3 linked regions of the Saccharomyces cerevisiae S288C genome follow. The gene in region 3 interacts genetically with the main gene of each other region. Each region holds a gene or a part of one and is shown on either strand. Other genes may lie near its edges. The genes, in order: KIN3, MCK1 and CLB5.

What was found.
Region 1: mutations in CLB5 (region 3) and KIN3 together harm fitness more than expected from each alone (negative genetic interaction), as found in Saccharomyces cerevisiae (4 studies listed by BioGRID).
Region 2: mutations in CLB5 (region 3) and MCK1 together harm fitness more than expected from each alone (negative genetic interaction), as found in Saccharomyces cerevisiae (5 studies listed by BioGRID, with this or other methods).

The regions. Positions count from the first base shown.
Region 1 is NC_001133.9:169,796-173,331, forward strand, and holds KIN3 (serine/threonine protein kinase KIN3), read right to left. Parts: upstream 1,909-3,536; coding exon 601-1,908; downstream 1-600. Other genes in the region: ADE1 (phosphoribosylaminoimidazolesuccinocarboxamide synthase), read left to right, coding at 1-500; serine/threonine protein kinase CDC15, read right to left, coding at 2,416-3,536.
Region 2 is NC_001146.8:55,946-59,655, forward strand, and holds MCK1 (serine/threonine/tyrosine protein kinase MCK1), read right to left. Parts: upstream 1,629-3,710; coding exon 501-1,628; downstream 1-500. Other genes in the region: mitochondrial 37S ribosomal protein uS11m MRPS18, read left to right, coding at 2,210-2,863; BXI1 (Bxi1p), read right to left, coding at 2,953-3,710. UniProt on the Saccharomyces cerevisiae protein: May be an autophosphorylating tyrosine kinase, a bifunctional (serine/tyrosine-specific) protein kinase, or a serine kinase that is a substrate for an associated tyrosine kinase.
Region 3 is NC_001148.4:773,500-777,259, forward strand, and holds CLB5 (B-type cyclin CLB5), read right to left. Parts: upstream 1,684-3,760; coding exon 376-1,683; downstream 1-375. UniProt on the Saccharomyces cerevisiae protein: Required for efficient progression through S phase and possibly for the normal progression through meiosis. Interacts with CDC28.

The sequences.
Region 1 (3,536 bases), on a different chromosome or scaffold from region 3:
GTTTGAAACAACCTCAAGGACTTAAAGAATCTCAAGAGTTCCCAGAACCAATCTTCACCCCATCGACCAAGGCTGAACAAGGTGAACATGACGAAAACATCTCTCCTGCCCAGGCCGCTGAGCTGGTGGGTGAAGATTTGTCACGTAGAGTGGCAGAACTGGCTGTAAAACTGTACTCCAAGTGCAAAGATTATGCTAAGGAGAAGGGCATCATCATCGCAGACACTAAATTCGAATTCGGTATTGACGAAAAGACCAATGAAATTATTCTAGTGGACGAGGTGCTAACGCCAGACTCCTCTAGATTCTGGAACGGTGCCTCTTATAAGGTAGGAGAATCCCAAGATTCTTACGATAAGCAATTTTTAAGAGACTGGCTTACTGCTAATAAGTTGAACGGTGTTAACGGCGTCAAAATGCCCCAAGACATTGTCGACAGGACAAGGGCCAAATATATAGAGGCTTATGAAACATTGACAGGGTCTAAATGGTCTCACTAACGTGATTTACATATACTACAAGTCGCCAGTGTAACTCCTCACTGAATATGATTCATACATACCCGTATGTATTAATGTATAAATGTTCTCAGAGCAAATTTTATCGATATCTTGTTTGCCAGTGGTATGCAGGTTTGGCAAATTTTTTACCATAATATCCGTTTATAGATTCTGGAACCTTACCAACTTTCTTACCGCTAATTACTTCCCTGGCTCGCTCCTCCACTGCCTGGGTAAATTGTTCCTTCAACTGACTCAGTTCTCTTTCGTATTCAATAGCTTGCTTCTCGAGGATTTTTTCAATGTTTGTCAGCTCATTTTCATAGTCCAGTAACTTCCTTTCAAATCTCTCTAATTGCAACGACTTTCTTGCAGTTCGTATCTGAATATCTTGCAGTAATTCAAAAGTGGAAGGCCTGGTTCTTAAGTTCACATCTATCATTGAATGTATTATGGCATTAAGCCCTCTAGAGTAATACTCAGGGACGGTGTCACATTTCCCGTTTTTAATCTTAGTTTGTAGCTCGAGATAATTTTTTGCCTGAAATGGGGGGTGCAACGAACACATCTCAAAAATAACACAACCTAGTGACCAGATGTCGGATAGTGGGGAGTATGGTTGGTCCATCAACACTTCAGGCGACATGTAATATGGTGTACCGACGTATGTTGTGGCAAATTGAATACTAGTTTCCAGAGATTTGGCTAACCCAAAATCACCTAACTTTACCACAACTTGACTATAGTCCATAGGGCTCCCCCTTTTCCCTGAATTCACTCTATGGTCTCTGTAATAATTACTATTCACTTCCTCGTGACCGTCTACTTGTTCATTAATATTGTAATCGCTATCATCATAGCTTAAGAATATATTTCCTGGTTTCAGATCACGATGGATAACGATGTTTTTGCCTTTTACCGGTGGTTTCATCCGGTCATATATTGTGGTCAAAGTTGGCAATTCAACACCATAATGACATTTATAGAGCGCAGTCAATAATTGGGCCAGGATACCCCACACAATTTTTTCTGGTATATATTTATGCTCCTGTTTGTAGTGCTTAATCATCTGGGATAAATCACCCCTGGAACAATATTCCATATAAAGGTATAACACTTCTTTTTGTTCATCGAAGTCCCAGTTATAAAATTCTACAATATTTTCATGCTTCAACTGCGATAGAATGCTACATTCAGCGATCAGCTGTTGTCTCTCTTTGCTATTCATATGGCCATATTTGATATCCTTTCTAACCAAAAGTTTCTTGGTAGGTATATGGATGACTTTTCGTACAGACCCAAATGAACCTCTCCCAATTTCTTCGAGAACTTGGTATTCTGACCTTGGTGGGTGTCCCTGCTGCTGCTGAGGACTACGGTATTCTTGGAAAAACTGTCGTCTATGCATACTCACACAGAGAATTGATTCAATTATCAAATAGCACTCTCATTGAAATTAGTATTGTGAATCTTGCTCTTTTCATGTTATATGATTTGATATTCTTTTGAAAAGTCGCTTTTATTTACGTTTAACCTAATTAGGAAACGTAATGAAAAAATTCAGAAACCTTAAAAAAAAAACTTGGCTGTAACCTATCGGAAGACTGTGCCACTGCAATCATGTCAGATATCGTATTTCAGATTTATTGATCTATAGCTAGAAACATTTAACAAAATGCACTTTGAGTCGTTCATACATTTAATCCCCAATTGAAAAAAAAAAGAAAAGAAAAAAAGCATATATATGTATATGCTTTTTTATCATTACTGGCCTCTTTAAATTCAAAAACTTTTCTGATCTCTTTTCCAAACAGATGCGTTTTCAGTATTGGAAGGTTCACAATTCTATATATAGTGTTAATGTAATGCTGTATTATTTCTCTATATATGTATGTATGCACATGCAATTCCTACATTATGTTTGAAATGTTGTAATGGGGACGGAAAAGCCGTCACTTTTATCTTTGGAGGATCGCAAATTACTACGCTCATCTTTTGTTGGAGAACTACCAATTGCTGCAGTGACGCTTGAAACTTTTTGCAGGCTTCCTTTTTTTGATAATGAACGGATATCCTCACATAGCTGACAGATCAAAACTGAGTCCCCCCCAACTTGATTTGAATTCCTTTTTGGGACATCCTTGTTCCAGTTGTTGTTTAAAAACTCCGTTATTTGTACTAAAATGGCACGAAGTTTGAAAACAGTGGCCTTATTACGACGATTTGGTTCGGTTTGCTTTATAGGATCCGGCTGTCCTGTGTAGTCATATAGCTTCAATAACGATTTTGAGAATATTAGCTTTATGAATTTCAATAGATCGATTTGAATAAGTAAACTGTTGAAATAGGTATCAAAGAAAGAAACAATCTTTTCATAAAAGTTCGGGTGAAATATGATATTAATTGTAAGGTTTTCAAAACCGGGCAATGAGCATATCTTCGTGAAAATGCTAATTAGTTTACTGAGGTTAACGTCATCGTCATTCAATGCATAAAACAGGTCAACTAATTGATCAATCGGTAATTCAATAGCAGCGTCATTGTTGACCTTTATGAGGAAAACACTATGAGACTCTGATGAGCCCACTGTAGGAGCCACATCATCATTTACATTGCGTAACGTAAAATGCAAGCAGTTCAGTATGATCTCCAGTCCACTTATGGAGGTGTTATTCTTTTTTCTGATGAAATTCATAGCTGTAGAAAATAAAGAAGCACTCATTTGGTCCATATCCAAACTCATTTCAACGCATATAGCAGTGATTTGTTTCCAAATGAAAGCTGCTGTCTTTGCGTCGTCGATAAAGGGAATGATGGTATCAATATTCCGGATAAAAGCAAAAAAAGCATCGTTGTCAAGCAGATCATTTAAAAAAGTGCTGTTTATATGTACTGTAAGGTAACAAAGCTTGGTGAAGTACTTTAAAACAGATAAATCTTTGATTTGGGCCATGTCAACAAAAAAAGATGTTAGCCAGGTAAAGAAACCCTCCGGTAATTCAATTAGTAGTCTTGATTTTGAAGATATGGTCAGAT
Region 2 (3,710 bases), on a different chromosome or scaffold from region 3:
TTTCTGAAGAAATGGTTCTGTTAACTAGATGAGATGAGATTGATATATTTGAAAAATTTTAACCGATGACCTTGCGGCTCCTCCGGGTAATACTTTTTTCTCACATAAATATCAAAAAATAACGACGGTATTTCAATAATACTTTTATATAAGTAATGATAACATGCGAGGCAATTTATTACAAGCCACGTAGGCCTAATTAAAATTATAAACTAACACTAAAGTAATAATAATATTTCAGATTAATAAAAGAACAGGAAATAGGAAAGAGATAAAAAAAAATTAGGAACATAAAATAAAAAATAAAGAAGAAATTGAAGGAGTGACTGGATAAAAGAAGTGTATGATAATATCAAATGGAAATTTGAATATATTTTATTCCAAAAAATTTTTTTTCTTTTCCAAGTGAAATATAAACAGCGGATCAAAGGTGAAAAAAATCATAGTATTTTGTTCATTAAATTTTCCGAGGGGAAAGAGAACAAATTAATAGAAAATTATTATTCAGCAACTTTCGTAGGTTTAATTTTATCAGCAAATTCACCCAGAATTTGTAACTCAAAATCATTAAAATCAAACAAATTTGGTAGCTTGATTGGTTCAGTGAAACCTCTTGGTAAGAAAGTGTCATCATTCCTTAATTCATTAAAGAACTGATGGGCAAGGATTCTTCTTGGAGACAGTCTTTGTTGTGGTTCGTAGACCAATATTTTCATCAAAAGATCGATACCATCTGGACCGGAATGGCCAAAATACTTCTCAAACCTCTGTTGCGAAGAGCCCGAGAACAGTGGTTTGGAAAATAGAGGGCCATCGTAGGCCGGATTCGAAAAGAAAATGAATCTTTTATCGGGAGGACCTAACAATTTAGCAATTTCCCTTAGCTGTAGAAGGGGTTCTTGACCTTGAAATATGGCTTTGCCGATAAGCATCTCGCCCATGACACAACCAAGCCCCCATATATCGATCTGGGTGGTATATTGGGTACAACCAATGATCAATTCAGGCGCTCTATAAAATCTTGAACAGATGTAACTAATTGAAGGCTGGTTATGTTCCAATTTTTTGGCAGACCCAAAATCGCAGATTTTCAAGACACCGGTTTCCGGGTCTACAAGAACATTGGATGGTTTGATATCACGATGACAAACGCCAAGACCGTGTAAATAAAGCATCCCGCGGGCAATCTGATAAGTGTATAGCCTGATATGTTTTAATGGCATTTCTAGCTTGTTTGTCACATAACGATTAATCTCGATTTGTAGAGTTTCTGGTAAGCATTCCATGGCAAGGTGTTGATAAACTTTATTATCTTGCGGGGACAAATGAGTAAAGAAATACTGCAATTTAACGATATTTGGATGGTCGGCAATCCTCAGAATCTGTAATTCCCTGGACTTGTACTCGGTATGAGCAGGGACTTTTTTAATTGCAAAGGGGCCCAACCAGTTTTTCTTATCCTGGGTTAAATATGCTTGTACAACAGTCCCAAAGGCACCTCTACCGATTTTCCTGTACTCTTTCACCAGCATCCGCCTCGTGTTGTTCGATTTATTCGAGGTTACATCGTCTGCAATGAATTCAGATCCCCTTTGCAGAGGAACACCATTCTGCTCTTCCGTAGACATATGTACTAGAATGTGATGGAGTGGGGGTTTCGGAAAATAAAAAGAAAATTGAAAGATGAAGCAAAGAACTCTGTAGTCTTGGGCTTAACTCCTATCAATAAACACGTTACGGGCCTGCCCACACTACTAACACGACACAATGGCACTCACTTGCGAAATCTATGTCGTTTTCCCTTGGAGGTTACGCCTGCCCTCTTCCGCATATGAAGGTCGCTTTTTTCAGTGTTGTTTGTGGGTCACTGAACTGTCATTACATACGAACTGAGTGGAAGCAAGAATGCTGCTTTCGAAAGCCACTACAGCTACGTGTGATCATATAATTCCTGCATAATATGGCTGCATGCTTTTTAATGATAGCTTCAATTATGATGATAATCACTGAGCTACTAGTATTCCATTATTCAGCCTAAGATTGGAACTTTCTATAGCAGCGGAGAGTGTTTGTTTCGTACTTCGTGACTGTTTGGCATAATAACGATGAATTGGGAAAGAGGGAAGACAAAATGAGAGTAAATCAGGTGGAAAGCAGTGGTTCTTCTGAAAAGAAAAAGTGACAGTGTGAACTGTTATAGTTACGTGTGATGCTGTTACAACCTGTTTGGAAAGGCTGCCGATGGACGCAGTTTGTCAGGCCTATCAGAAGATGGAATTCTACCGGCACGAATAGAGGAGTTCCTTTTTCATTTAAGGATATTTCAAATCAGGAGGATATCACGAATATCTCGTATCCTTCGTCCTCTGACTCAGTTTTGACAAAGTCAAATGGTAGTAGTGAGGTTTACAAGCCCAAAGAGGAAGTAGTTAAGTACATTCTACATGGCAAGTTTACTAAAAATAACACGCATTTGACATTTTCAAGCGTTGTGGAGGACAAGAACTTTCATAAGAATAAGGGACTTACGTATAATGATACAATGCTGTACTATTTGAACTTACCCCAGAAAGTGAAGATTTCGCTATCTACAGGTTGTTTAGGGTTTAGGAAGGCAGCAAGAGGGGAGTATGAAGCTGCATTTCAAACCAGTGGTAGAATGTTTGAATTGATTAAGGAAAAGAACATGCTGAACAAAGATATCGAAGTGGTGATGGACGACTTTGGGAAGGGCAGAGCTGCTTTTATTTCCGCTCTTGTTGGTAAGGAAGGGGCCAGTGTGGTGAAAAAGGTTGTGAAGATCAGCGATGCCACCAAATTGAAGTTTGGTGGTGTAAGATCACCAAAGATGAGAAGACTATGATCAGCTCCCACTATGTATGAATTATAAACTATGTAAAAGAAGAAGAAATATATATATATTCGTGTAAATAATTCGATTTTTCCCTTTTTTTAATTGTCGTCGTTAGAGTTGGCCAAAATCCTTAAAATAGACAAAAACAAATTGACGATGTCCAGGTAAAGCATCATGGCGCATCTAACTTCTTCATCAGGATACACTTTCCTAAAAATCAGTTGCGTATCGATGAAAAGATACGCGGTAAATAAAATGGCACCAAGCCAGCCGTAAAGCAGATTAAACTTGGAAGAGTGGGTATTCCAGCCGAAAAGCAAGGCCGTGAGACCCATTCCGATCATAATCCATAGACCCCAGTTTAACCAATAGTATATTGACGTTGCGGAATTCAGCACGTTCTCGAATCTCTCTGATAGTGCGGTCAAGGAAACGCCGACTACGACGATGGTGGTGATCAGCAGAGCCGAAAGTACTGTATCCTTATCGTACGCTAAGGTTACCAGCGACAGACAGTAAGCCTCGGAAAGAGTGAAAATGGAGAGCAGCGTGAGCTTTTGCTTGTACGAGGACAAGACGTACCAAGGCAGACGCCTTTGCTCTTGTGCCGGCTCTTCGCTGCTGCCCGTGAGCAACGGTTCGGGAACACTGGCCTCGTAGTCTTCGGGACGAGGACTTACTGCCAGCCAAATGCACGATACTAGCGATACCACCATGCAGATGTAGAAGAGGGCGATATGCGACATGATAAAGTTCTGCAAAGAAGTGGAAACGCTAGCCCAGTAGCAGAACGACAAACTGGCCAGTAACTGGCATGACAGCAGAGAGTAAACCTTGTGCATAAACCGCTGGCGAA
Region 3 (3,760 bases):
TCATAACCTTAGTCTCTTAAAAAATGCTGCTTTCTTCTCATTTTTCATTTCTTTTAAAATTATTTCAGTATAGTTATTATAATTAACATTGGAATAACATTAATAATAATAATTTTTTAATAGTAATAATGATAATAATAATAATAAAAATAAAAGAATAAATTTAAAAACAAAAAAAATTCTAATATTAATGATGATAATAGTAGTAATACTGGTGGTATTATATATGTTGAAGTGAACACGCATATCACTATAAACTATATATACATATATATAGATAGATAGATAGATGCAAAAAATTTTTTCCTTTTAGTTCAGCAAAAAGAAAAGAAAATGTAAAGAGTATGCGAATTCATGAGCATTACTAGTACTAATCTACTTAAGATTAAATAGATTTTGAAAGTTGCTATGCATTTCGGATGTACACCACTTGAAAGTTTGGAAATAAACAGAGCCATACCTTGGTTTCTTGTACTTCAAAATCAATGAATCTAAATGAGTTTTGGAACTAGCGATGTCTTTGACTAGATCAATGCAGAGAGACTGAAACGCTTCATCGTGTATTGGATCGATACCACCACTGTAATGCTGTAGTGTTCCATTCCATAGCTCGTTCTTGTTTCTGTTGGTCATTCTTCTCGCTATATACATTGCCATTGCGCTTACGGTAGATGGAGGTAAATGAATGAATTGGTGGCAGCAGTAGGCATACTCTAAAATAAACTTACCAATATTTCTATTAACCGGATCGTAATCATCTGCCTTGGAGATCCTCCTTAGGAAATTGAGTGGGTTGGGCCAACCAATGTTGAATTCTAAGGAAGTGAGCATGAACATTTCCGCATTTTTTATGTCGTTTTTAGAAGCCGCGCCGTCAGTGATATAAGCGTATTCAGCTAGTTTGGGCAAATTTACCTCTTCAAATTTTGCCGCGATGAAAAGTGAGGTAACTGCCAATAATTGTAACTTGTTCATCGTAACTTTATTTTTAGCTAAAAATCTATCCATTAAGTTTATGGATAGGAATAACGTTTCCGGATAGCATTGAAATTTTTCGTGCACCTCTACCAGCCAATCCACTAATATTGTTCTCATGGAAGGCCTCAAATAATACTTGGACGTTTTGTCGAGTAAATAGTTGTGCGATGGTAACGTTTCTAATTCTCTTCTATATAAAAATGCAAAAATTTCAGCAGAATATTCTGCTACCATTGCAGTATCATCTTTTTCAACATAATCTAGGTCCTGCCAGCCTACTATTTCACTCACTCCTTCAGCGTCTATTCTGCGTTTTTTGTTCACTATCGAAGCAGCATCATCATCTTCTCCTTCTTCTTCTTCTTCTTCTTCTTGCTCTGCTGCCGTTCGATCGTTATATATCTGTCTTTTTTGAACGGCGCTAACAATAGGTCTAATGTTTTCTTCTCTTCGTACTTTGGCCGCCTTGCTCCCTGCTACTATTCTCTTGTTCTGGCTTAAAGGATTATTGTTCACTGGTACATCTGTTAAAGCCCTTCTTGGTTTAGAATCCTGAACCTGCTGCTTACTAGAGCTGTCATTTTTTGAAAGGGCCCTTTTATTTTGAAGAATCTTTAGGTTTGAATTGCACAACTGCCTCTCATTTTCATTATAAATCATAGAATTTCTTTTAATACTCTGCTCATGGTCGTGGTTCTCTCCCATTGTTCAGTAAAGGTGTTCAGCGGCTTTAAATACAGGGAAAAGCGCGTTACTGCTAATTATTAAGCTTATTTTGCTTTGTGTGAGACAACTAATTGGCCGTGAAAAGCTTTAGGTGATTGAGTCTCTTGAAGTACAAAGACAAAAAGACTTCAATAGATAGACAGAAAAAAAACTTTTCTTGAGAAGCTTAAGAATTAGTTCCAAGTAGCTTCTAATAAACCGATGAACGCAAATGAAGTTCCCTTCGCGGTAGATGGCAGTAGCTATCGGCAGTCACTAGGAAAAGTGAGTTTAGCACAGATATGCTGTGGGCGCTATCCCAATGTGGGCAAAGCGCGTGAACATCACGACGCGCCTTCCCGTTAAATTTTGTACCATCAAGGGCGCGTCTTCACTCGAGATGCGCGTTCTTTTGCTGGTTCTTTTCACTGAGGGCACAGAATATGATACCCACAGTATGACAAGTTTTAATCGAGATAGTTTGACGTTCGTTTTTTACTTTGAATATACTCGTAGTCTTTTTACTTTTTGAGTATAAAAAAAAAATGACTAGCAAAATAAAATTAGTAGTCTAAAAAAGAAAGCTCGCACTCAGGATCGAACTAAGGACCAACAGATTTGCAATCTGCTGCGCTACCACTGCGCCATACGAGCTTTTGAATTATGGTAATTTTGATTATCCTAGAATGTTATATCTCAATATCTCAATATATTTTGGACATCTATGAAACACCCATAAAGCAGCCGCTACCAAACAGACAAGATTCAGTATGTAAGGTAAATACCTTTTTGCACAGTTAAACTACCCAAACTTATTAAAGCTTGATAAATTACTGAAATTCCACCTTTCAGTTAGATTCAGGCCTCATATAGATTAGATATAGGGTACGTAACATTCTGTCAACCAAGTTGTTGGAATGAAAGTCTAAAATGTCATCTATTCGGTAGCACTCATGTTACTAGTATACTGTCACATGCGGTGTAACGTGGGGACATAAAACAGACATCAAATATAATGGAAGCTGAAATGCAAAGATCGATAATGTAATAGGAATGAAACATATAAAACGAAAGGAGAAGTAATGGTAATATTAGTATGTAGAAATACCGATTCAATTTTGGGGATTCTTATATTCTCGAGAGAATTTCTAGTATAATCTGTATACATAATATTATAGGCTTTACCAACAATGGAATTTCGACAATTATCATATTATTCACCAATTAATCACAAGTTGGTAATGAGTTTGATAACAAGTTACTTTCTTAACAACGTTAGTATCGTCAAAACACTCGGTTTTACTCGAGCTTGTAGCACAATAATACCGTGTAGAGTTCTGTATTGTTCTTCTTAGTGCTTGTATATGCTCATCCCGACCTTCCATTTTTTTTTTCTTGGAATCAGTACATAGCAGGTATGAGTTGTTAGAGCTGTTACAAGTTACGGTAAACATTTCAACACACCGTTATTTAACGAATTTATTTGAGAAAGTGGTGTATTTTAAGATATATGTTTGGTTTCGATTGTTGGCAAAGACTATAATATTATGCATATAGGATATACCAAAAATTCTCTCTGAGGATATAGGAATCTACAAAATGAATCTACATTTCATTTTATTACGTCATATATGAATACTAGTCAATAGATGATAGTTAATTTTTATTCTAGCATATATTTAAGTTTGTTTGCGAAACCCTATGCTCTGTTGTTCGGATTTGAAATTTTAAAACTACATTAATGTGTTAGTTTTTCTTTCTTTCTTTCTTTGTCTTGACGTGATTTGGACTTCTGTCTTGCATTCGCGTCCATTCATCTGACCCAATATTCCTTTTGGTTTTGTTATCCTTATAAAAAGAAAGGAAGCTTCTTAGAGGGAAAAAAATGATGAAGAGTAATGCCAAAATATAAATAAATAAATAAATATGAAAATCATTTTCTATTTTTAATAGAATAAGAAGAGCATCTTAAGATTACAATTTCAAGAAATAGTTTACACAGTATATCCAATAACTCCAATAAACTACTTTCCTATACAAATTTCTATGGTGGGATTAATAGTAAAACTTCTGTACT